Linked DNA regions of Mytilus edulis. The protein of the gene in region 1 interacts with the protein of each later gene in a biochemical or structural test. Links are inferred from orthologs where the notes say so. Each region holds a gene or a part of one and is shown in the gene's direction. Other genes may lie near its edges.

Evidence for each region.
Region 2: the proteins of mutS protein homolog 4-like (region 1) and uncharacterized protein form a complex in vitro, tested with the Homo sapiens proteins (2 studies listed by BioGRID). The link is inferred for Mytilus edulis from reciprocal best matches to the Homo sapiens genes MSH4 and MLH3.
Region 3: the proteins of mutS protein homolog 4-like (region 1) and mutS protein homolog 5-like form a complex in vitro, tested with the Homo sapiens proteins (2 studies listed by BioGRID). The link is inferred for Mytilus edulis from reciprocal best matches to the Homo sapiens genes MSH4 and MSH5.

What each region holds. Positions count from the first base shown.
Region 1 is NC_092349.1:77,952,262-77,960,837, forward strand, and holds the start of mutS protein homolog 4-like, read left to right. Parts: upstream 1-5,060; 5' UTR 5,061-5,204; intron 5,205-8,576. UniProt on the Homo sapiens protein: Involved in meiotic recombination. Required for reciprocal recombination and proper segregation of homologous chromosomes at meiosis.
Region 2 is NC_092346.1:50,539,359-50,548,064, forward strand, and holds the start of uncharacterized protein, read left to right. Parts: upstream 1-5,574; 5' UTR 5,575-5,666; intron 5,667-8,706. Other genes in the region: zinc finger C2HC domain-containing protein 1C-like, read right to left, coding at 3,533-3,584. UniProt on the Homo sapiens protein: Probably involved in the repair of mismatches in DNA.
Region 3 is NC_092344.1:111,934,969-111,943,044, reverse strand, and holds the start of mutS protein homolog 5-like, read left to right. Parts: upstream 1-4,915; 5' UTR 4,916-5,003; intron 5,004-5,027; exon of another isoform or gene 5,028-5,161; intron 5,162-8,076. Other genes in the region: transcription factor Jun-like, read right to left, coding at 3,552-4,427.

The sequences.
Region 1 (8,576 bases):
CCTGTGGTTGCCTCACAATATAGAACGCAAATAATCCGAAGATTTCCCAATATGTATTTTTAGATATTAACGCAAGTGATTAATGTCAGAAAACCCTTTGTTTGCCTTGAGATGTAGATGGATGGTTGAGTCTAGGTAAGTGTAATGATGTATATCAAAACTTTAACTGGCGAGTAAGCTGAGATAAAGGTACGTTTTTCTTGAATGTATTTTATTTGTGACAGATCTATATCATTGCAGTGTCTTGATAAACGCAAAATTAAGATTTCAATCAAAACATTTTTCTTTGTGGGATTTACTATATTCAATATTTTGCAATTCTTTTCTTTATTTACAATCTACTATCATGATTATTTTAACATCATGTGATCAAATAAATATAAAGTATAGATAAGGTATACGAATATGTATGTTTTCTCAAATGAAGTGTTTTGTAATGAAAGAGTAAACTATGATTTTTTTTTTTAATTTTTAAGCAAAAATACGCGGGGTTATTTTGAAGAAAACTTAAAACACTAAATGTGTATTCAGTGACACATTAAATCTGTCTGTACATATGCAAGTAATTAAGTTTATATATTTATTGACCAAAAGTCAAGTCATAGACACAATTCAATGGACTGTCATTTTTGTTCTCTCAAAACTTATGTCAATACATTTTCTCAAATATATTTGTCCTACAAAATCTTCCTGTTAATCAAGTAGCAGATCAGAAGGTTGTTGACTACTTTCAATTTTTTTTTATTTGGTACATGGTATATTGGAAAACCTATGACGACCATTTGATTTTATCGACAATTGAGAAGGTCCTCCTTTTGATTTTTTATAACAGAAATGCAAGCAGCGTTTTCTCCATTTAAGGCTAGAACCTTATAGTCTAGAAAATTATTTGAGCGTTTGCAATTTCAAGATATTTCGAGGATCTGAATGTTCGAAATGACTACAATACTGTCCAAGGTTTGGGGTATTAGCGTTGTTCCAAGTCCTGATCTTGTTTTTTCAGTGGTTGGAGTTGATTGCTGTCCGTATTAATAGTTTTTCGTTTGTTGTTTTAGCAAGATATAGATCGAGTGGTTGGTTTTATTCTTTTGAATTGTTATAACGTTAGAATTTTGCTAATTTTTGGAAGCTGTATGACCTGTAAATGATTGCATCCTCGTCCTAAGGTCGCTGGTGGATAGTGGTATCATTGTCAATCATACAACATCTCTAGTTTTTATAAAACAATCAGTCTGAAATGAGTGTTTCTAGAACTCGCTAAATTTACATTGTGCTACTAGTAGTTGCGGACCTAGTGAACTATTGCTTTACGAAAAAAATGATGCAAATATCGTTATTTATGGCCATGAACGCAGATTTGTTTTATGTTTTATTTTCTAATTCTTATTCTTTTACTAATGATACCTGTCATCGTAGATTGTAATGGAAGAAGATTATACTGGTGATGTTACTGTGGACGAGTGGAGGCAATTGTGGAAAGATGGCAAAACAGATTTTGTTAATCCTGAACTTAGCCCGATGTTTACCAAACATGTTGACAAAATGTTAAATAGTCGTGAAAAAGTGAAAACGTTTGTCCCATTTTGTGGAAAAGTTGTAGAAATGAAATGGCTTTGGGATAAAGGACATGAAGTTGTCGGCGTCGAATGTGGTGAGGAAGCAATTAAAGATTTTTTTACAGAGAACAAAATCGATTATAGTATTGTAGAAGTTCCGGAGGTCAAAGGGAAATTATATAAAAGTGATGATGGTCGAATACGGCTATATTGCTGTGATTTTTATCTGTTTAACTCGGCTATTCAAAGTGATTTTGAGGCTGTTTGGGATAGTGGTGCTCTTAATGCCGTCAACTTGGATGACCAGGAAAAATATGTTAATATTATCAAATCGCTGATGGGAAATAAATGCATAAATCTCACAGTTGCAGACGAATTATCGGTTACTTGTGAAAAACTCAGGAATTGGTTCAATGGTGGATTCAGAGTGGTGGAAAGTGATTTCATGAAACCTGATGAAAAACTAGAATCTTTTGGCTTCACAGGGTTACATCTTTACACTATTTCTAAAATATGAAAATACTTTATTTAGTCATAGATGGATGATCTTTTTTATTAGTTGTTAGTGGCTATGAACTAGCTGTCAGATAAATGGGAGTACTCTCAGATCTGTTCCTAGTATCTTTTTGTTGTTGGGATGTACAAGTACCCGGTCACGTCCACTTGTATTTTTGTATATCTGATGGGTTAAGCCTTTTTCAACTGATTTTTATAGTTCGTTCTTATGTTGTACTTTTATACCACTGTCCCAGGTTAGGGAGAGTTGGGATCCCGCTAACATGTTTAACCCCGCCACATTATGTTATATGTACCTGTCCCAAGTCAGGAGCCTGTAATTCAGTGGTTGACGTTGGTTTATGTGTTACATATTTTCGTTCATTTTTTTATATAAATAAGGCCGTAAGTTTTCTCGTTTGAATTGTTTTACATTGACATTTCGGGGCCTTTAATAGCTGACTATGCGGTATGGGCTTTGCTCATTGTTGAAGGCCGTACGGTGACCTATAGTTGTAAATTTCTGTGTCATTTTGGTCTCTTGTGGACAGTTGTCTCATTGGCAGTCATGCCACATCTTCTTTTATATATATATATATATATATATATACAACTCGTCTAAACATCAACCCAACAATGTTAGATCTGTAAATTTGCTTTCGCAAATTTTTGGTTCTTCCCTCGCCGGGATTCGAACCCATGCTACTGTGATATCGTGACACCAAATCGCCTGCACTGCAGCCGTCCCGCTAGACCACCTGGGCTCTCAAAAAAAGAGCTTTCGCTGGCCGTGTGTTACCTTTCCACGTCAGTTTTAATCTAGCGGCGTACTACAGTACATGATATATAAGGCATGAAGATATTATTGTTACAGATCAGCTAAATTATCTATAGTAAAGGATCCTACAAATTAATGTAATATACAGTCACAGAAAATAATTATATTTATAAGTACGTTTGAGTCAGTGACAACTCCACAACAGATGTATCCATCGGATCGCCATCAATGATGGTGATACATGGCTGTGTACATAATGTATATACAACTCGTCTAAACATCAACCCAACAATGTTAGATCTGTAAATTTGCTTTTCGCAAATTTTTGGTTCTTCCCTCACCGGGATTCGAACCCATGCTACTGTGATATCGTGACACCAAATCGCCTGCACTGCAGCCGTCCCGCTAGACCACACGACCACCTGGGCTCTCAAAAAAAGAGCTTTCGCTTTCGCATATATGTATATGTACAGTTTTACCAAAACATGGAATCAACAAGCTACAATGAACAAAGTGTCAACATTACGCACCTGAAGCAGATCTGGGTAATAACAAAGATAAATAATATAAAAAAATCAAATATTATACATAATAAAATAAGGGCGAAAGATACCAGAGGGACATCCAAACTCATAAATTGAAAATAAACTGACAACGCTATGGCTAAAAAAAAAAGACAAACAGATAAACAGTAGTACACAAAACAAAACATAGAAAAATGAAGACTAAGCAACACGAAACCCACAAGCAACTGGGGTGATCTCATGTGCTTTGGAAGGGTAAGCATATCCTGCTCCATATGTGGCACCCGTCGTGTTGCTCATGTTAGTACAAACCCGAGAATAAGTCTAATTGATAAATTCGGTAGGTTACATTTGTGAAAACGGAAAGGGATTGTAGTTACGACATAAGGAACATATCTGTTATCATCTGTGAAACGAATAATTCATAATTCGTTTAACCAACTCGTGATGGCGTCCTTAAAATTTACGAAAGGAAGATTTCAACTTCACAATTTGAAACTCTTGGTTTAATAGCTTCCGTGTGAGGTGCAGTCCTCATGAAATCATGATAGGAAATATCGTATCAATTTGGATATATATATATTCCGTATGCAGGCGCTGCTGGACTGTTGCAACATAGAAATGGAAAGTTCACAATTTGGAAGCTGAAATCATCTTTTTAGTCGGAACGTTTTGTTTTCAACCGACCACATTGTCATTTTCTAGATGTATTTCAAGTTATGAGGCAGACTTATATGTATCTGTTGTTTCGTTGTATGTGTTTGAGCTTTTGGTTTTGTCATTTGATAAAGGACTTTCCGTTTTGAATTTCGTTATTTTTGTGATTTTTTTTTTTTTTTTTTTTTTTTTATCCCAGTTCGATGGGATAGATGCGTTCAACATAGTCACCAAATTTAGAACTATTCAGTGAGATCTAACATCATCTACTTATAGCGGAAAGTAAAGTTAAAGGATATACAGCTAACTTCTTTTCTTTCTTCTTAAGAAGTTCCTGTGTAAAGTCAGTCTCATAAGAATAAAGGAACAAGTCAGCAAGAAGATGATTTGATGAACTTTCTCCCCCACCCTTGATTTTCATTTTGTGGGGAACCCTAATAGGACCAAGATTAATTATGACACTTTTATTATACCGATTATGTTTTATAGAAGTATCACAATCTGCCGGGTCCTATTGAAGTATCACAATTGAACAGGCTTGGTCCTAACCGGAAAATCGATTTCAAAAAGAAGAAAAATGTATGATAACGCTTAAAGGATTGAACATTTCCCAAATACCTCGATTGTTTTGTAAATTTTCCCCATTTCCCACTGTTTCTCCTGTCCGGCTTTCTCCCAGATCCCACTTTTTTACCCTTACATTACAAAGCCAGTTCCCCCGGTTACCCCTCATTCGTAGTTTTAGAGACATATGCATTTATATTCTCTGGTAGTTTGAAGTCGTCATGGTCTGGGTTATATACTATACAGTAATTAACTGAAACCAGATGGTGCACTGAGGCCTACTAGGACAACTGCTTCATTGCATGTTTTCTTGAAGGCATTTCTTATACTTAGAACGTTTTTAATATTATTTTTCAATGTTTAATTAAATAGAAAGAAGGCCCTGAAGACTTTATAGTAATACTAAATTAATCATTAGTAGCTGCAGTCATGTCAGTCATGATAGAATAATCAGTTTATAACGGACATTTGTCAAACACTTTGCTGTTCGTTCCTTTCCCCTACTTTAAAGTCTCCGTAGTATCTTCGACAAAAATTGCCGGGATTTAGGTTTTTCTTCTTAATGTGACCAGTTAAAAACACAGTGACACAAAGTATCTTTTAGAAACAATATTGAGGAGGAATATTTGTGTTTGTATAAAAAAATAATTTCGCATTGGGGACAGAACTTTACTTTGACTCGTGTCTATACAACATTGCTAAAAAGTATTCGTCAGAAGGTTGGGCGGTAAATACCACCCCCGGTATTTACCAGTGGTATTTACCGGTATTTACCGCCCCGGACAATACTCCCCAAGTGGTCAATACTGGCAAATACTGGTCAATTGAAATTTTCATGGTTGTTTCTACTATTAAATGAAGTAAAATCTTGATAAAAAGTCAAATATAATGTGTCAGCTTATAAAGTTAATGAATTTGATATGTTTTATTTAAGAATTGAATGCCTCTTTTTGTAAATTTATTGGGGTGTAAAAGCGTTGACCGAAGTACATTCTAAAAATGTACGCGCGGTCAACGCTTTTACAACCCTATAAAGTTACAAAAAGAAGCATTCAATACTTATAATTACATTTTTTAGCTATGATTATGAAAACACGAATTTTATATATTTTATTATATAAACACTAGAATTGAAAACCAAAAGATATATGTAAAAGAATGAAAAAACAGTAAATATTTTGTACTGAAACTCAAAATTACTTTTTGACAAATTTAAATGTCAAAATCCAATACAATGTGAGTCTTTGTGACAGCTGGGAACAGTATATCTAACAATAAATATGGTCCTGGTGACAGTATACATTTTCTTTATCAGTAATAAATGTTGGTAAAGCAAGTTAGATGCTTTTAAAGTGTAAACATATTACTGCAATTTCAATGGGTATTTTTTTTTCTCAATTTTGATGGGTCAGTAAAACAAGCTGGAAGTTTCTTATTTTACACATAGAGTGCAACTAGATTATATGATACCTGAATGTAAGCAAATCATATGATATTTATGTGGAGTCCTTTGGGGTACTCTACCCCCTCCTGTTTGATAACTTAGAAACGAATGAGATCCCCACCTCTCATATACATTCATGTATGGGACTATATAACTAATCAAATGAAATATCTAGGTGAAGTCCCTAGGGTCACCCACCACCTCCTGCTTTAGAACTTGGAAACAGTCGAGATCCCCATCCCTTAACCATATATATTCATGTATGGGACAATATAAAAAATCAAATAAAATATAGGGGGAGTCCCTGTGGGTCATCCCACCCCTCCTGCTTGAGAACTTGGAAACGGTCGAGATCTCCACCCCTAAACCATATATATTCATGTATGGGACTATATATAGAAATCATATGAAATATAGGTGGAGTTCGTGGGGCCATTCTACCCCTTCCTGTTTGAGAATTTGAAAACGGTTGAGATCCCCACCCATAAACCATATATATTCATGTATTGGACAATATAACAAATCAAATGAATTATAGGGGGAGTCCCTAAAGTCACTGCACCCTCCTGTTTGAGAACTTGTAAACAGTCGAGATCCTCATTCCTTAACCATATATACTCATTGTAAGGGACTAAATAACAAATCAAATAAATTATAGGGGGAGTCCCTGCAGTCACCCCACCCCTCCTGTTGTTTGAGAACTTGGAAACAGTCGAGATCCCCACCTTTAAATTAAACCATATATTTTCATGTATCATGTGTATGGGACAATAGAACTTGAATCAAATGAAATATAGGGAGAGTCCTAAGGGTCACCCTACCCAATCCTGTTTGATAACTTGGAAACAGATGAGGTCCCCACCCCTCAACCATAAATATTCATGTATTGGACAATATAACAAATCAAATGAAATATAGGGGAAGTCACTGGGGTCCCCCACCCCCTCCTGTTTGAAAACTTGATACAATACAATATACAATATGCTTTATTTTAAAAACACTCAGTCACATTGACATGTGAAACAAGAGGTAAATTACAAAATACAATCACATACAATTAAAGAAATAAATGAAACAACTTAGAAATGAAATACATGTATATAGAAAATTACTTTACTTTATATTATAATATTTTAATATCATAATATTTTAGTTAACTTTGAAATGAATAAAGATACGTTTTTAAGTACGTTAATTTTAGTCAATGACAGTAGTCCTTTCATTTTTGCTTCACTCGGATATTTCACATAGTACTCGGGATAACGGTCGAGATCCCCACCCCTAAACCATATGTATTCATGTATGGGACAATATAAAAAATCAAATGAAAAATAGGGGTAGTCCCTAGGGTCACCCACACCCTCTTGTGTGTGTTTTGAGAACTTGTAAAAGATTGAGATACCAACTCCTAAACCATATTCATTCCTGTTTGTCATTTGTCAATCAAAAAGATTGAATGACATACAAGGTCAATCTCATAGGCGTCACATATGCATATCAGTTTGCTAGACCTAACACCTGTCATTTTATTCCAAATTTAGACATCATGGACTTGGGGTGAAGGTGGGAGTCATTTACATTTACTATGGACAGGTCAGTCAGACCTCACCATTGATCCCTGTAGTAGTAAACATTTGTCTGCTTTGTGTCTCATAACTTTTGTACTGTAGAACACAAACTCAGTTTTCTTTCTATGCAGGGAAGCAAGTTCATTCATACTTTTACAAGCTCAGACTAAAGTCAACTTGAACTACTAACAGTCAACTAATATGAACAATTACGATCAACTAGAAGAACTGCAATCATTGCGAATTTGTACCACTGCTGACTCAAGACTCATGACCACGAAAAAAATATACTTGATATATATACGTTGCTATTGAAAATAATTATGTTTGCCTTGGTTTTTGGTTAACTGCCTACAGTTCTTACAGCGCTTTGATTTTTTTCTGGGACGCCTTCCTTCATATAATTATGATGTCTTGCAAGGCTATTTTAATTTTTTTCTGGGACGCCTTCCTACGACGTCAGAACGCTGAAGCCATTTTTTACGTCTGGAGTTTGAGAGCAAATTTTGGGGGGAACTTTGACACCTAATTTTGACATGAAACTTTCATTGCCGGTTAGAAATTTTTACGTAGTTACAAAGTCCTACCTTTTTTGTGCTTATTGATGTAAAATATATCCAGAAATATCCAAAAGAAAAGATTAAATAAGCTACGATTCCATTTGACAAAATGTTTGAGGTGGGCAAATATTTATTTTGTTTCAAGATGTTTTCCCACAATTACCAAAGAAACGTGACTTCCGGTGAATATAAAATTTAAAAAATGGTAAAATTTAATGGACCCGAACTTCAGGAACGTTTGACATTATCTGGAAATTCGGGTCTGTCAAATTTTTACCAATTTTGAGACTTTGAATTTGGGTAGAGTCACTTAAGCCCTGCATGAGTTATGTCCCTTTATAAATTGAAAATAAGAAAATTTGCAGTTTCCACACCAAAATTTTATTTTGCCATTTCCAAATATTCCCAAACTAATAAAGAATGTTCATTT
Region 2 (8,706 bases), on another chromosome or scaffold:
CATTACTTTTCTTTCTTTTTAAATATGTGCTATTGTGACTCGGGATATATATTTGAAGTAGTTGATTGACCTTATGTTACCAAAAATAATAAATTGTAAAACTAAAGGCACAACAGTAATTGTCGAAAATAAGTCATGCAGTGATTTAATTATTTTAATTTTACAGAAAAAAATCTTCAAAATAGCGCTGAAAATTAGTTTCGAAATCTTTATTTAAAGATATACTGTTTTTATATACCAACGTGCTATACATTTACAACCATATATTTTGACTAGTTAAACAAATTTCAAGTAAAAAAAAGTGTTTATTAATAATTTTCACTAATAAAATTGTTTCCTAAATCCCCTAATAGAATGCAAAGTTTGCTTTTTTTTCAAAATCCGAAAGATCGCGGAGCCCATTTGTGTTCGTCTTACCTCAGTTTCGGACACTGTAGATTTGATCAATAAAATTTGTCAATACATGGATTAGTCTAAATCTTATGTGTCACTTATAAAGTGCACTGTTACTTATATATATGAAATCCCGCGATTTATATTATTGGCGATTACATATGTGCATAATCCAGTTGCTATATATACAGTACGGGTAATCGGTAGTAAATAATCTTATATTTAATGTAAACATAAAAAAAATCCAATAAAGAAACGAAAGAAGAATGAAGGGAAGCGTGACCCTTATAAGATATTCTCAAGTTGCCTTTCTTCCAATAATAAAATCCTCAGCATGTTGCCTAAGTAGATATCCTTGTATTGCCTTACTTCAAATTATAAACTTTTCACGTTGCTTTCATTGGGGATTGTCTTGTGTGCCTACCACTAGATATAAAATGCGCATTGCCTTCATTAGAAATTCTCTTGTGGGCCTAACTCTAGTTTAAAAATCAGCATGTTGTCTCCGAGATCATCATATTGTCTATCTAATATAAAATCATGTTGTCTTAATAAGAAAACACCGTGTTGTCTTGCTGTAAAGGATGCAATCCTCTTGAAGCCTTAATTGGGAATCCTCATGTTGGCTTCTACTTCGTAAATCACTTTTAAGTATTTGGCACAACTTTTTGGAATTTTGGATCCTCAATGCTCTTCAACTTTGTACTTGTTTGGCTTTATAAATATTTTGATATGAGCGTCACTGATGAGTCTTATGTAGACGAAACGCGCGTTTGGCGTACTAAATTATAATCCTGGTACCTTTGATAACTAATTAAGCACGCTGCGTTGTGGGCATATATGTTATCCTCATGTTGCCTGAAGAAGATCGCCGTTTTACTACTAATGGTTAAATGTTACTGTTGCCTTAGATAGATAACTTCGTGTTGTCTTTGCTAGATTTACTAGTAAAAAAACATCAGGTTCATGGTTACCTCATTAATGTAAAGCACAAGAGAGCAACCATACGTCGCTTTGAGGTCTTTAGATTGCATGAAAATCGATGATACTTTTCCCAAACTCCTAATAAATATAACTTTGCTTTAATATTGCAGTTTTATTAGGACGTAACTGAACATTGATTGCGTCTTTTAATTACCAACTAAATTGATGGAGCAGTGAGATTTGGGATGAGGGGTCATTATAGATATTTCAGAGGAAAATGTAGTGCAGATCGGAGTTGACCTTTATTTTGTAAATGTGGTGATTCATTGAATATAACAGACCAATTTGTTAAATAAGCGATGAGAAAGTACACATCCATTGTCACACATCTATGAATATACGTGTACTCATCTAAGATTGATACTGCTAGTTTACGAAAAACTGTAGAAAAATATCGGAGGCAATATACTTAAAATTTAGAGCACAACTTTTCTCCGCATAACACACATAATCCTAATTATAACTTCTTAAAATAATTAAAGTTTACTGATTTAAACGTATTGTTTCAATTGTGTTTCATAAAAAAGTAAGGCTAATATAGATGCAAAAGAATTCCTTTTAGGAAGGGATAAATCTTACCTTTGAAAACAGATTTCAAAAGAAGAAATATTATTGAAGTTCTTGGTGACGTGATTTTTAACAGAGGTTAACTTTCTTAAGCTTATGTGATCCGATTGTTACTCTTTAAACTAATTTGATTCTTAATTCGTAGAAAGCGAAAATCCTAAATGAATATATATCTACAGAGGAAGAATATTTCTTTGTCAAGGTTATAGTTACTTGCTGTATTTAAGTCATTGACTATATACCAACAGTATAAAAACGGTACAAAAGTCCCAGGTTTTAATCAGAAATCGAGTGAACATTCTGTTAAAATCTGCTCAGGTGAAAAGATCCCTAATTTTACCAAAATAAAATGCATTGGTACAAACAAATGTCGGTCAGCGGAAATGAAAGCTTTCTAGCCGTACATAAAAACGCGATCAGTTGACAGCTAAATAAGTTCTGTACGAATTTAATCACAATTAAAAGATGATAGTCGATAGTTTGAAACGATTAACAAAAAAGAGATACAGGGAATATTAAAATGAGACTGTACAACCAAACAACACCGTAAAAATTTTAAACAAAGAAGAGACTTCATTAAAACGGTGTCGTAATTTAAGTTACTAGAAAAACGTCAAGTGGAGTCATCCGGGGATGCCGAAGACAATGAAATTATACTTGAAACTCAAGTATGATGTCACAGTAAAATTCCAAGCAAACTTTCAGTGTAAATGTTTACACCACATTTGATTCCTACTTGGAGTGAACATGTTCTTTTCTATCTCAATAACGACGGTTTTCTGATTTTATTATATTTTTGACGATTTTCAACAAACTACAGCAACATGACAAGTTATTGGTACATGTACTTGAACTGTATAAATAAATTCATTCTAAATTAACGTACTACAATAATCATAATACAACTTTGTCTATTCAAACCATTAATAATACTTGTACCAACGAGGATATCTGATAAACCATTTTTCTTCATACTTTGAGTCCAAATAGGTCTTATAAAGTAGTGAATTATCAGTTGATATAGATAGGCTTTACTTGCCTTTTTTTGTATCTGTTGCCTTAAAGTTTAGTACTTTTGTCATCCCTAGTTCTCTGATCTAATTAGTAAACATTCGAATTTTTTTTGGAATAAGTAATAAATAAATTTGAATGAATGAAACAAATCTCTTCTGTCCTCTTGGATTTCAATAAGTCTTGAACAATGTATAATGAAATATAAATATTTTAATAAATGACAAGATCTATGTCAAACAAATATCCATATTTTCAGTTTAAATAGACATACAATGTCAATGTAACAATATGTCAGTTGTTGAATAGCTAACTTTTTATCATTCATATCAATACAATTACCTAGTCCTCATTTCATTTAAAGAAAAAATGAATCAAAATAGTAACTGTAATGTTTTGAAACATGTTTACTCAACAACTTTAAAAATGTTTGGTCATGAGGAATAAAACTTCTTAAGTAATTATGAGTCATAATGTAAAAATCGTTTTCAAAAGCTTAAGAGGTGGATTTTGGTAGTTATATATGAGTCAATATACACTGGTTCTTTAAATACTTATAATAAACAAAATGACTTACTATTAATTAATCCATTTGGATAGTTTAGTCCAAGTGGCATCAACAGTGCCATTTTCAAATCTTATCACACTAAAATTATAATATGTGCATGTTCATCACCAAACTGATTTTTGATGCTTGATTAAGTGTCAATTAACTCGTGATCATACTGAAAAATTAAGCCTTCAAAATATTCCAATCATGTTGAAACATCACAACAAAAATTATGTGTAATTAAATTAGTGATGAAGTGACACAAACAACATTTAAAACACTGCACAATTAATCTATACAAATTGTGTTGTTATAGTAAGACAATAAATTGAATTAAACTTATATTTAATAGATAGAGATCAGAATGTTTACACTATGAAAATTAAATGAGATCCAACATGGTGCAATATTGTTTTAGCAGATAACAAAAATGTTGACAGTTTAATACAACTGTCATGACTGTATTTTTGTGTTATATATTTGTTCATCTAGTACATATGTATGAATATATGAAAACAAAAATAACAACAACATCATGTGCACATTTAAAGTATGTCTACTAGTGAAAATGTAACAACATTGAACTATAAATTGCCAATGATTTTTCATATCATAGTATCTCATTCAGTGGAACAAGAAGTTTTTAATGGCTAAAAAGGCACAATCAAATAAAGCAATTTGTTCTATGTAAAACATAATTAGAAAAGGCAGATATAAAAATCTTTCTGTTGAATGTAAACTGCAATCATTTGACAAAATTTTATAATTTTTTCTGGGGTTTTGGTTAATTTTTGTAATAACATATATAAGATCCTACAGTTGTATAAAAAAAAATTGCCCAGTTGGCAGTGGCATATACATGTATATATGAGTATATGATCTTAAAAAAATGTTGTAATGCTCAGTAGAGTAAAACCCAATATAGTATGGCTATCTCTTATGCTGAGCAGGTTTCTGTCTTGGGTACTATAAGATATATCTTTTCTACATACATTTTATGTTAATTAGGAAAAGTACCCATACTGAATATTTTTTTAAGGGTATTTAAGTCCATCCACAATTTTAATCCTGAGATACCCAGATTAAATATCAAGCTTTTGTTTTCATTGTCTTTTGGTACAAAATGTATGTTGATGATTCCGAATCCACACTACATGTAGCTTCACTATACTAGCATCTGCATCTCCATCATTATGGTGGTTGTAACAAAAGTAATCTGACAAAAATGATTGAACAGCTTACCAGGAATTTATAGTAAATTAATTATAAATTACAAAAGCTTTTGGTACTTTAAATATAACAAAAAATGTTATGTTGGACACTTATAGTAATGGGTAAGATGGATAAGGAACCTATTAAGTATGAATGTTACAATAATGTTTATACCGTACCTAGGACAAATATGACCTGTTTAGCTCCATTTACTTTAGTCAGAGACTTCTGCTGTATTGAACCCAAGGCCAAGGATTAACAATAAATACATATCGGCCTAATTTAGGCCGTGTAATTTATATATAGGAGTATATGATTTAGGCCGTGTAATTTAGGGATAGGTATGGTTAAGAGTTATGTTTAGAGCAAGGAATAGTTTAGCGGAACCCTGCATGGTCCAGGTCCCTTAGTGTTAATGAAAGCCGGCAGTTTAATCAGAATACTACTACTATATAGTGACTAGTGAGTAGTGTAAAAATAGAATAACATGATAAAATGAAAAAGATGTTCTGAACTTCATTATAGAACAAAGGAAACATAATTCATACAGTTGGTAAATTAAATTAGCAATTGATTAGTCATAAATTTGAGGTGCCATAATACTCACCTGCGTTTTTTTATGTGACACCACAGAAATCTATGATCTGCAAGAATGATCGAGATCATATGGTGGTCGCCATATTGTTTACAAGTCCTAGGCAACTACAATGTCAAAGGTCAAATGTATTTATTTTTTTTCTTTAAAAGCATTAAATTATAAGACATGTTAAAAAATACTTTTTGTAAATAAAAGAAGACCAAGATAACATAAATAGATATATGGAAATTATTATGGAAAAGCATAATCTCATTAGCGAGAGACGCACTACTTCCGGTTTTTCTAGCAGACAGCAAAACATTTGAATCAGCATAAATGAACTCAAATGCTGCCTAATGCTATTTATTGAATGTGTGTAAATAATTTGTAACTGTTTCCTTTCTCTAAACCTATATTTAAACACATCAACATTTATGAAAATCAATTCACTGGTCATTTAATGGCATGTCAACAACAAATATTACAAAATACAATGTCGAAATTATTTAGTTCACACACAGGGGCTTGTTACAATTGCCGGGTTTAATATCCATACGAACCCTTAAAAAAACAGTTTACCAAATAAAAGGCACGCCTGTATCCTTGCTCTTTTAAAAGATTCCAGCACTTTCATAATCGTCATTCTTTAGGGTAGTATAGAAATAATTAATGTTCTGTAAGTACATAACCGTGTAGTCCGAGATTACTCTGACGTCCAACGGCTGTTTTGCCAGACAAGATGGGGCCGTGGGACGTCAGAGCTCGTCCCATATCAAAAAGTGGATATTTGCCCACCCAAAATAGATGCGCTTCTTCTTCGTATCTGGTGCCGATTGAGGGCCTTGGAATTATATAAATCGGGAATCAATCTGTTCATTTTTCATTTATCTCTTCATTTATGTAAGTTTCACCTACCTGCCAACCTTTATTTTTCTATATTTTAACAGTTTTCACAGAGACCCATCGATTTCTGCATTTTGACTTTCATTTTCAAAGATTATCAAACGACCACAAGAAAACAGTGCAAATGACCATAATGTAACTTCGTTCATTTACGATGTTAGTTATCTACATGTCCGAGAGCTTCCGATTGTTATCGTGGTCGGAACTAAATGCTGAATACCGATCTCCTGTAAAGGAGGTGAAAAATCGTGGTTGGCTTCTAAATGTTAAACATCGATCTCCTACAAAGGAGGTGAAAAAATATAAATATTTGCATATTTGAGTCTCGAGGCCACGAACTCTGAGTGTGTCTCTCTCGTAACTTGACGTCCATTTGAAAGTGAAAGACACCAGAAGCGATGAAGCAGCGCATCTATTTTGGGTGGGCAAATATCCACTTTTTGATATTGGACGAGCTCTGACGTCCCACGGCCCCAGCTTGTCTGGCAAAACAGCCGTTGGACGTCAGAGTAATCTCGGACTAATAACCGTGATGGTCTTATGACTGAGGGAAGGTGACCATCGTTTTAGATTTTAATTTCCCAAATATTTTGTGCAGTATGAAATAAAACTTTTTCACTCGTTTGCTCAACATGTATTGGAAATTTCTATGCATACATTTTTGTCACATGGTGATGAAAGTAACATGACAGATTCGTCTGAAAACCTTATCACGGAACTGGCCTATTCTTAAAAACTATATGAAACCGGTTGGAAAAGGGCATCATCATAAACTTGGTTGTAATTTTTGGACAATTCTTTTTCTCTCATTGATATGCAACAAAATATCTTGTACCATAATGCACATGATGCATATGACCATGGAGTTCCGAGTTGTCAATGCTGCGTTCTGTAAATATCTGGCCCCATGTTGTTCTTGAAGTTCCAATATAAGCTGATCTAAAATATTGATTCCTATTAACGTGGTACATGATGACGTCAGAGTAATCTTGGACTATGGTTATATATACACCTTATCATTGCTTATCGCTATTTGACCTTTTTGTGACCAGCCATCACAGCCACTAAAACTTAAACAAATGTTAAATCTAAATTGATTTATCTTCACAATGGTGTATAAGGGACGACATCAAAAGTTCAATGTAGGATAAAAAACTTAATTCACATAGTTTTTTCGCTGACCCCCTACCCCCCTTCTTAACTTAATTTGGGAAAAATTGATTTACCTATATGGATATATGTAAAATCGATTTTAGATTAACAAAACTTGCAGCAATGTTGACCCCCACCCCCAAACTATTCGATTTAAGTTTTTTATCCTACATCGATCTTTTGATGTCGTCCCTAACAGGCCTACCTTTATTGTCGGAATCTTCCCTCTAGCAATCCTACCCAAGAATGTCAATCGTAATTATTTTGTCTACCAAGGATGGATTGGAAACACAAAAGTCGCAGTAAATAATTAATTATAAAAATTGTTTTTGTCTGAATAGAACTCATCAACCAGTTAGTAAAATTGTATAAGATACTGTGAAAAAAAATCCATCAAGTTTTATTTATGGAATGTCTAATAAGTTACAAGTAATCTTTTTTACTTCAGGCACAAATTTTCCCATTTCGTCAATGTCATTCTTTTTTGCACCAAACTAAATAAATGACTATTTTGCTCATCCGTATTAAAGTACTGTTGATCCAAAAAGCAAAATTTTTGTGTCAACCAAGTTGGACAGGAAGAACTGAAACAGAAGCTAATAGTTCATGTCTTAAATCAGTGTATATGGGACAATTTAGATAACAGGAAGTGAGAATTTGTTACAACAACACAACAACTTGTTAATTTATTATATATATATATATGTCTCTGGTATACTACATTTAAAACTTTGAAATGTTGTTATATATATTACCATATGATTTGTAATGGTGAACACTTATGTTCTATTAGTTATCTTAATAAGGAATCTGAATCTTAGTGAAGCATTAGACTTTGACTTATTTTAGAAATAAATTCAACTACATTGATTACTTACTTGTAATATTTAGTTTCTTTGAGGTTCTTCTTCACCAGACTTGATCTAAATTTTAGTTATTTCTATTACCATTTTGTCCTTATTTCTGCTCTATAGTAATAAGTCATTTTAATACACCTCTTCGTCAGACCAATATTTATGTAGTTGTTTTTTGAAGGTATTTATTGAAGGGGCTTTAGTTATTTATCTGGTAGCTTGTTCAAGGTTTTAGCAATTCTAATAGAGAATGAATGTTCAGGAATATTAGATTGAAATGTTTGTTGGGTGACTTTGTAGCTATTTGTCCTGCCACTACATGGTTTTAATGTTGTAAATCATCTTCAAAGTAAACAGGTAAACACTCTTTACAAAGAACCTGCAAAATAACAAATTCACTAACATTGCTGCTGCTGGTAAAATAACCAATTACCTGTAATAAATTTTACTAAACATGCTTAAGGCTTTAAATATTAACATTTTTTTTTATTATTTGCTTCTTC
Region 3 (8,076 bases), on another chromosome or scaffold:
ATAATAACAAAAAAAACAGTAAAATTTCCTCAAAATTACCAATTCAGGGGCAGCAACCTAACAACCGATTCATCTGAAAATTCCAGGGCAGATAGATCGTGACCTGATCAACAATTTTACTTCCTGTCAGATTTGCTCTTAATGCTTTGGTTTTTGAGTTATAAGCCAAAAACTCCATTTTACCCCATGTTCTATTTTTAGCTATGGCGGCCATCTTGGTTTGTTGGCCGAGTTACCGGACATATTTTTTTAACTATATACCCCAATGATGATTATGGCTAAGTTTGGTTAAATTTGGCCCAGTAGTTTCAGAGGAGAAGATTTTTCTAAAAGATTACTAAGATTTACGAAAAATGGTTAAAAATTGACTATAAAGGGCAATTACTCCTAAAGTGGTCAACTGACCATTTTGGTCATGTTGACTTATTTGTAGATCTTACTTTGCTGAACATTATTGCTGTTTACAGTTTATCTCTATCTATAATAACATTCTAAATAATAACCAAAAACAGCAAAATTTCCTTAAAATTACCATTTCAGGAGCAGCAACCCAACAACGGAATGTCCGATTCATCTGAAAATTTCAGGGCAGATATATCTTGACCTGATGAACAATTTTACCCCCATGTCAGATTTGCTCTAAATGCTTTGGTTTTTGAGTTATAAGCCAAAAACTGCATTTTACCCCTATGTTCTATTTTTAGCCATGGCGGCCATCTTAGTTGGTTGGGTGGGTCAGGGGACACACTTTTAAACTAGATACCCCAATGATGATTATGGCCAAGTTTGGTTAAATTTGGCCCAGTAGTTTTAGAGGAGAAGATTTTTCTAAAAGATTACTAAGATTTACGAAAAATTGTTAAAAATTGACTATAAAGGGCAATAACTCCTAAAGTGGTCAACTGACCATTTTGGTCATGTTGACTTATTTGTAGATCTTACTTTGGTGAACAGTATTGCTGTTTACAGTTTATTTCTATCTATAATAATATTCAAGATAATAACCAAAAACAGCAAAATTTCCTTAAAATTACCATTTCAGGGGCAGCAACCCAACAACGGAATGTCCGATTCATCTGAAAATTTCACGGCAGATAGATCTTGACCTGATGAACAATTTTACCCCCATGTCAGATTTGCTCTAAATGCTTTGGTTTTTGAGTTATAAGCCAAAAACTGCATTTTACCCCTATGTTCTATTTTTAGCCATGGCGGCCATCTTGGTTGGTTGGGCGGTTCACCGGACACATTTTTTAAACTAGATACCCAAATGATGATTATGGCCAAGTTTGGTTAAATTTGGCCCAGTAGTTTCAGAGGAGAAGATTTTTCTAAAAGATTACTAAGATTTACGAAAAATGGTTAAAAATTGACTATAAAGGGCAATAACTTCTAAAGTGGTCAACTGACCATTTTGGTCATGTTGACTTATTTGTAGATCTTACTTTGCTGAACATTATTGCTGTTTACAGTTTATCTCTATCTATAATAACATTCAAGATAATAACCAAAAACAGCAAAATTTCCTTAAAATTACCATTTCAGGGGCAGCAACCCAACAACGAAATGTCCGATCATCTGAAAATTTCAGGGCGGACAGATCTTGACCCGATGAACAATATTACCCCGTCAGATTTGCTCTAAATGCTTTGGTTTTTGAGTTATAAGCCAAAAACTGCATTTTACCCCTATGTTCTATTTTTAGCCATGGCGGCCATCTTGGTTGGTTGGCCGGGTCACCGGACACATTTTTTAAACTAAATACCCCAATGATGATTGTGGCCAAGTTTGGTTAAATTTGGCCCAGTAGTTTCAGAGGAGAAGATTTTTCTAAAAGATTACTAAGATTTACGAAAAATGGTTAAAAATTGACTATAAAGGGCAATAACTCCTAAAGTGGTCAACTGACCATTTTGGTCATGTTGACTTATTTGTAGATCTTACTTTGCTGAACATTATTGCTGTTTACAGTTTATCTCTATCTATAATAATATTCAAGATAATAACCAAAAACAGCAAAATTTCCTTAAAATTACCATTTCAGGGGCAGCAACCCAACAACGAAATGTCCGATTCATCTGAAAATTTCAGGGCAGACAGATCTTGACCCGATGAACAATATTACCCCATGTCAGATTTGCTCTAAATGCTTTGGTTTTTGAGTTATAAGCCAAAAACTGCATTTTACCCCTATGTTCTATTTTTAGCCATGGCGGCCATCTTGGTTGGTTGGCCGGGTCACCGGACACATTTTTTAAACTAGATACCCCAATGATGATTGTGGCCAAGTTTGGTTAAATTTGGCCCAGTAGTTTCAGAGGAGAAGATTTTTGTAAAAGTTAACGACGCCAGACGACGGACGACAGACGACGGACGCCGGACGCCAAGTGCTGAGAAAAGCTCACTTGGCCCTTTGGGCCAGGTGAGCTAAAAAAGAAGATGTGGTATGATTGCCAATGGGACAACCGTCCACAATATATGCCTTTTTCAACATATATATATTAGATGATGTGGCTCTGTGCTCTGTGCTTGTAGCCGTTTACATCCTGTCATTGTGTTGTTGTGCTATGTTTGATTTTTGTATTCTTGTCCTTCATTTGCAAATGTGCTTGATCTATATGCCTATTTGTGATCCTTTGTAACATATATATGTATAGGTTTCTTTTATAGTGATTACTACACGTTGACTGCTATGCAGGTCAGGAATATGACAGATGTTATCCATTCATTTGATGTGTTTGAGCTTTAGATTTTGTCATTTGATATTACAGACTTTCTGTTCTGAAATTTCCTTAGAGTTCAAACTCTGTATTTTTGTTGTTTTACATTTTGATAGTTTTAGGTACATCTTTTCACAAGAAATTCAGAAATCTGGTGGTCCCTTAAACCAGAAGCAAAATAGTCTATGAACATTCAAGACAAACATGAGTATGATTAGATTATTTTGTTTCAATACCATACATTTTGTACATAAACAAAAGTATCAAAACCCTACAAAAGCAAAACCAAAGTAACTTTAGAGGTAGAAAATGTAGAAACCATACTTGTAACAACAGAGCACACAAGACATTTACAAGTAGACCTGTAGATATGTTTTTGTTTGTGTTTGTAGTCTCGTTGCATTGGCATCCATACCTCTGTAAACCTGTATTATGTTTTACAATGTAAGGGGAATAACTCTAATTTACAAACATGACATACAAGAAAATTAAATTTTTAACTTTTTATTCATGGTTTTTTTCTTTTTTTTTTTCAAAATATAAATAACAGCATCCACTGGTGCTTACAAAGACCAGAGATGTTTTGTAGAAAATAATATATATATAAAATTATGACATTTGCATGATAACCTCAGAAATAATGACTAAATGAAATTATCACATTTAAACATGCAAGATAGAAATTTTGTTGCAGAAGACAAAATGTTAAAATTGCGGAATGTCAGCAACAAAATTATCATCAAAACATGCAAAAACAATACGTGATTGGCACTTATACATAAAACATCCTTATGAACACATTGTCAAGGCACAGATCATTTCATTCAAATGTTATGAGAATATATTTGTACTTGAAATCATGATTTGACAGCCACTGTTCACATGGTCTATAATTTTTTTCTTTAGTTTACAGACTTGGTCCCTGAGAGAATTTGCTGTTGCTGTTAAATCACAGTTTTGTCCTTTCAAGTCATCTACTCTATCTTCTAATCGGGAGATTCTTTCAAGTTTACGCGTTCTGCACTTTCTTGCAGCTACACGGTTTCTGGCACGTTTTCTTTCAAGTTTGATAACTTCTTGATTTTCCATGTTTATTGGCGACACTGAAAAACTGTCAGTTGTACTAGTTGCTATTGAAGGAACGGTCTGTGGTTCTTCATCCTGTCGTAATAAACTGATTCTTTGGGAAGGCATAGATTTAACTGAATGATTTCCTGCAGAAGATGTGTTAGTTGTGAATAAACCACCAGGGAGGGTTGTAGTAGCTGAGGTAAGAACATAGTCTGGAGGTACATACGTGTAACTGGCATTAGACACAGAGTCACTTTGGCTTTCACAATCCGAAGAGGATTCACCCTTTAAACATTGTCCTGTTTTTCCATGAAGATTGTTCAATGCCTCCACAAATCCTTTAGCAAATGATTCCTGTTCGTCTGTCACGAATTTTGGAAATATGAATTGTGTTGGTGTCGGCGTTGTTGTAACAAATCCATTTGCTTGAATTATAAACTTTTCTAACTCTGGCGATGCCAACTTCAGCATGTTCAAATCAGGAGAAGCAAGCAGATTTTGGATCTTCTGTTGTTTTGTTTTTCCTGATGAATTAAAGTCTAATGTCATCTTTCTTTTCAAACTATTCACGTTTGGGTCTCCGGCTTTGTTCATGATCCCTTCTGGATAAAATGTCCGCTCGGACAAAACTTCCATTGTCTAAAAAGTTTGTTATAGTATAAAGTCTAAAAACTTTTTCAACTTCAGTTGATAACTTGTGATGACTAATCCCAACGAAGGTCGATGTAAAAATGGTGGAAATATGAGTCACCTCTCTATATTTCTTTTCGTGTGAGGCTTGCACTGTAGTAAGTTTTCAAGACGTATGCTTTGTCCAACGTATTTCACTCCTTTTTATATGAAATGAGTCAGTTTTCTAAATATAGCATGACATCACTTTGGATAGCTCTCATTGGTTCTCAATGCGATCATCGACTATGTTGTCATTGTTCCTTCGGAGTTCTCGGACATTTTTTCTTTCATGTATCGGTTAAACCTAAAAATGATATCGTTGGTTCGAGAAAATGTTTTGATTTTGATTGGACGATTCTCTCGGGTGTGACTTGATTTGAACTCTGGAAAAGGGCACTTTCTGTAAAAGGAAATATTGACTGTGACGTCAGGATATTTACAACCCATATTTGGAAAACATTAAATTCTTAAACTTTATTGAGAACTGTTTTGATATTGCGAGTAACCGTTACCTTAGAAACTCTAAAGAAGATTATAAACGTAATATTCTCTAAAATCTAACCTAAAATATTTTTTGAAAGTGGTTTAACAAACACATGTTACTGAAACTTTCGGCGCCAAACCATGCTCTCAGAAGGGGATTTCCAAATATGAATCATCACTATTAACACGTGGAAGTTTTGAGACTAATAATAAAGGTAACGAAAGTCGATAAAGACGAAGTCGAAAGCAAAGAACTAGAATTTATTTTAAATACGCTTGACCATGGCGAGGAGTTAAAGTTTCAGATTAGATAGGAGATTAGAGATGGCCTGTGATCTGATAAATTATTTTTTACATACAAAACAACTTCAAAATAAGAGCTATTGCTCAAAAAGCCTAAACTTCCAAAGGAGCTAACCATTCAATAGGAGTTTTATTTCCAGAAGTTCAACAACTTCTCTAATTAATGGACCACACCTTCCTACATGTATATCTATGGTGGTTGAATATTGAACCACTTCATTAATTCATACATGTACATCACAAAAAAGATAATCTAGTGGCAAAGATCTTAGCTGAATATGTAAGGCAAAATAGTGTCCTGGGAAATAGTGTCCACATGGACACTATTTCCTAGAATTTAGGTATTAAATAATGTCCATTGCCATGGAATATTGTCCCCAAAGTGGACAGATTGTCATAGCAATATCTATGAAATAGTGTCCACTTGACTACAGAATGTTATGAAATAGAGGACATTATTAAATCCTACTATTATTAACAAATTATGTCCTCCAAGGGAAGTACATGTAAGGAATACTAAGGTGGACATCTTATCACTGAAATATAGTATTTTTAAATGTGTCCACTTTCAGGGACACTTTTTCATACCGGAGGACAGTTTTTCATAGAAAAATGTGTCCAGGACACATATAAATAAGTGAATATCGTCCTGAGACCGTATTTACTAGGAAATAATGTCCCGTGGACACTATTTCATTAGGGACATTATCAAATCCTACAAATACATACACTTTTTTACTAAATTTTGGAGAACTTTATAAAAATATTTTTACAACCAGTGTCAAAAAGAAAACTTGTAGCTTTTGATAGACCTATTATTTGGTCATGGAATAATTTATTCAACCTTCTGTGGCAAGCATATTTAAATTTATACCTTTCTATTTTTAAAGGATATTTGTTGAACTGTAGATTTTTTTTAGTTTGTGTCATATGGTTGCTGTCTGGTTGCAATTTACACTGTATCAACTTTTATACGCCTCTGGCCTTTTACCTAACGACTAAAAATTGAAAAAAGGGATTATGATAATTGTTACATTTGTAGTCCTAGTTGGCTGCATTTTTTCTTAAAATTTTTTAATAATAAATTATGCCCTCTGTGTCTAAAAAATTATAAATTTTGATTCACATTTTTATCTATTTCACTTGAATAGCTTTTTAATATGTGAATCTTTTTTTATACCAAAAATTATACCTAAATCCAATGAAATAAAATTTGTTGTTGTCTTTAAACAAGTTAAAAATCCAAAACGTTTTTAAACCTTTTGAATATTTAAATTTTTAAAGTAATACATCCCCCCCTTTTCTCTGTTGATGTCTGAACATGTTTGTTGACAATCCTCCAAATGAACTTTGTGTGTTGGCATTGCATGGGTATTTCCCACTGTGAGTAGATTTTCTATATTTATCTGATGATTCACCACAACAGTAGGTTAGTAGGTGTTTGTTTATTGTTTTTCCATGGCTTACCTGTGAGGGAACATATCAAAATAGAAAATGCAATATCACATATTTTATGCATTTAGTTTTTCTCTAGTTTTTCTCCTAAAAAAAGATTTGAATGTTTTTAAAGTATACTGTTCGTATAAGATAAAGAAATCAAGAATTGATAGTAAATGTAATTATTTTATTAAATATGTGTTAAAACATTAAATATAAGCATATTTGACATATAAATTAACTTGCAAAATTGTTTTCATTAAAACAAAAAAATGAAGATATTTAATTGTTTTGCACAAAGTACATTTAGATTTAGGTTCAATTAAAATATTTTAAAGATTTTGACCTTTTTTAATTTTTAAATTGAACTTTAGTTCAATTGACCTGACAAAATAACATTGAAAACTTCTTAAACACTGACACAAATATTGTTTTTTTTTAGATATATAGAACCAAGGTGTTCCAAGTTAAATTATTACTACTTTTATGCAAATGTCTGTTTTAAGTGAGGTCTACAAATCAACTTTTTAAAACTTCTCATGACTTTCTTTTAGGAAAAAAGGGGGTGGTTGGTTCTCAGTGGCGGATCCAGAAGGGGGGGGGGGGGGTTTCCGGGGGTTAGAACCCCCTCTTTTTTTGGCCGATCAATGCATTTGAATGGGAGCATATATTTGGACCCCCCCCTTTACTCTGGGTTGGGAACCCCCCCTTTTTAAAATGGCTGGATCCGCGCCTGGTTCTAGAGAATTAAATCAAAATGAAAACGATGGTCTACATTTGATGAAATATATCAATTAATATTTTAAGTAAAAGATAATATAAAGGTTACTAACTAAAGTTGAAGTTATCTATGGTTGAACTTTTGTGAAAGAATAGACAGGTGGTTTGAAATTTATGATTTTGAGATTTTCCAGATTTGTGTATTGGCATCAGGCCATCACATGACCTTACTATTGTCTGTAAATTTTCGATCACATGATTGTTTTATTTAAGGATAATATAAAATAACAGTTGTCCCCAATTACGAAATAGTCTGTTAATCATAGTATGGATGATAAGATGATAAACAATAACAGATAGTTATTTTTAATATAAATGAAATTTTAATGTCCAAAAAGATAAAAATAAACCATATATAGATATACTTATATAAATCATATATATATAGATACATAAATATAGATTTATACCCAACTATTTCCAAGCAGCAATTTTTTTCAATAATACATATTTTGTTTGTAAAACAGTGGCGGATCCAGAAATATTTTTTGGGGTGAGGGGCTGACTGACCTGAGTGTTTTTATTATATATATATATTGTGATTTTTTTTTTTTGTTTGAAAATCTACTATTTTATATGAAGATTATTATTGTTTTTTTTCTTTTATTCC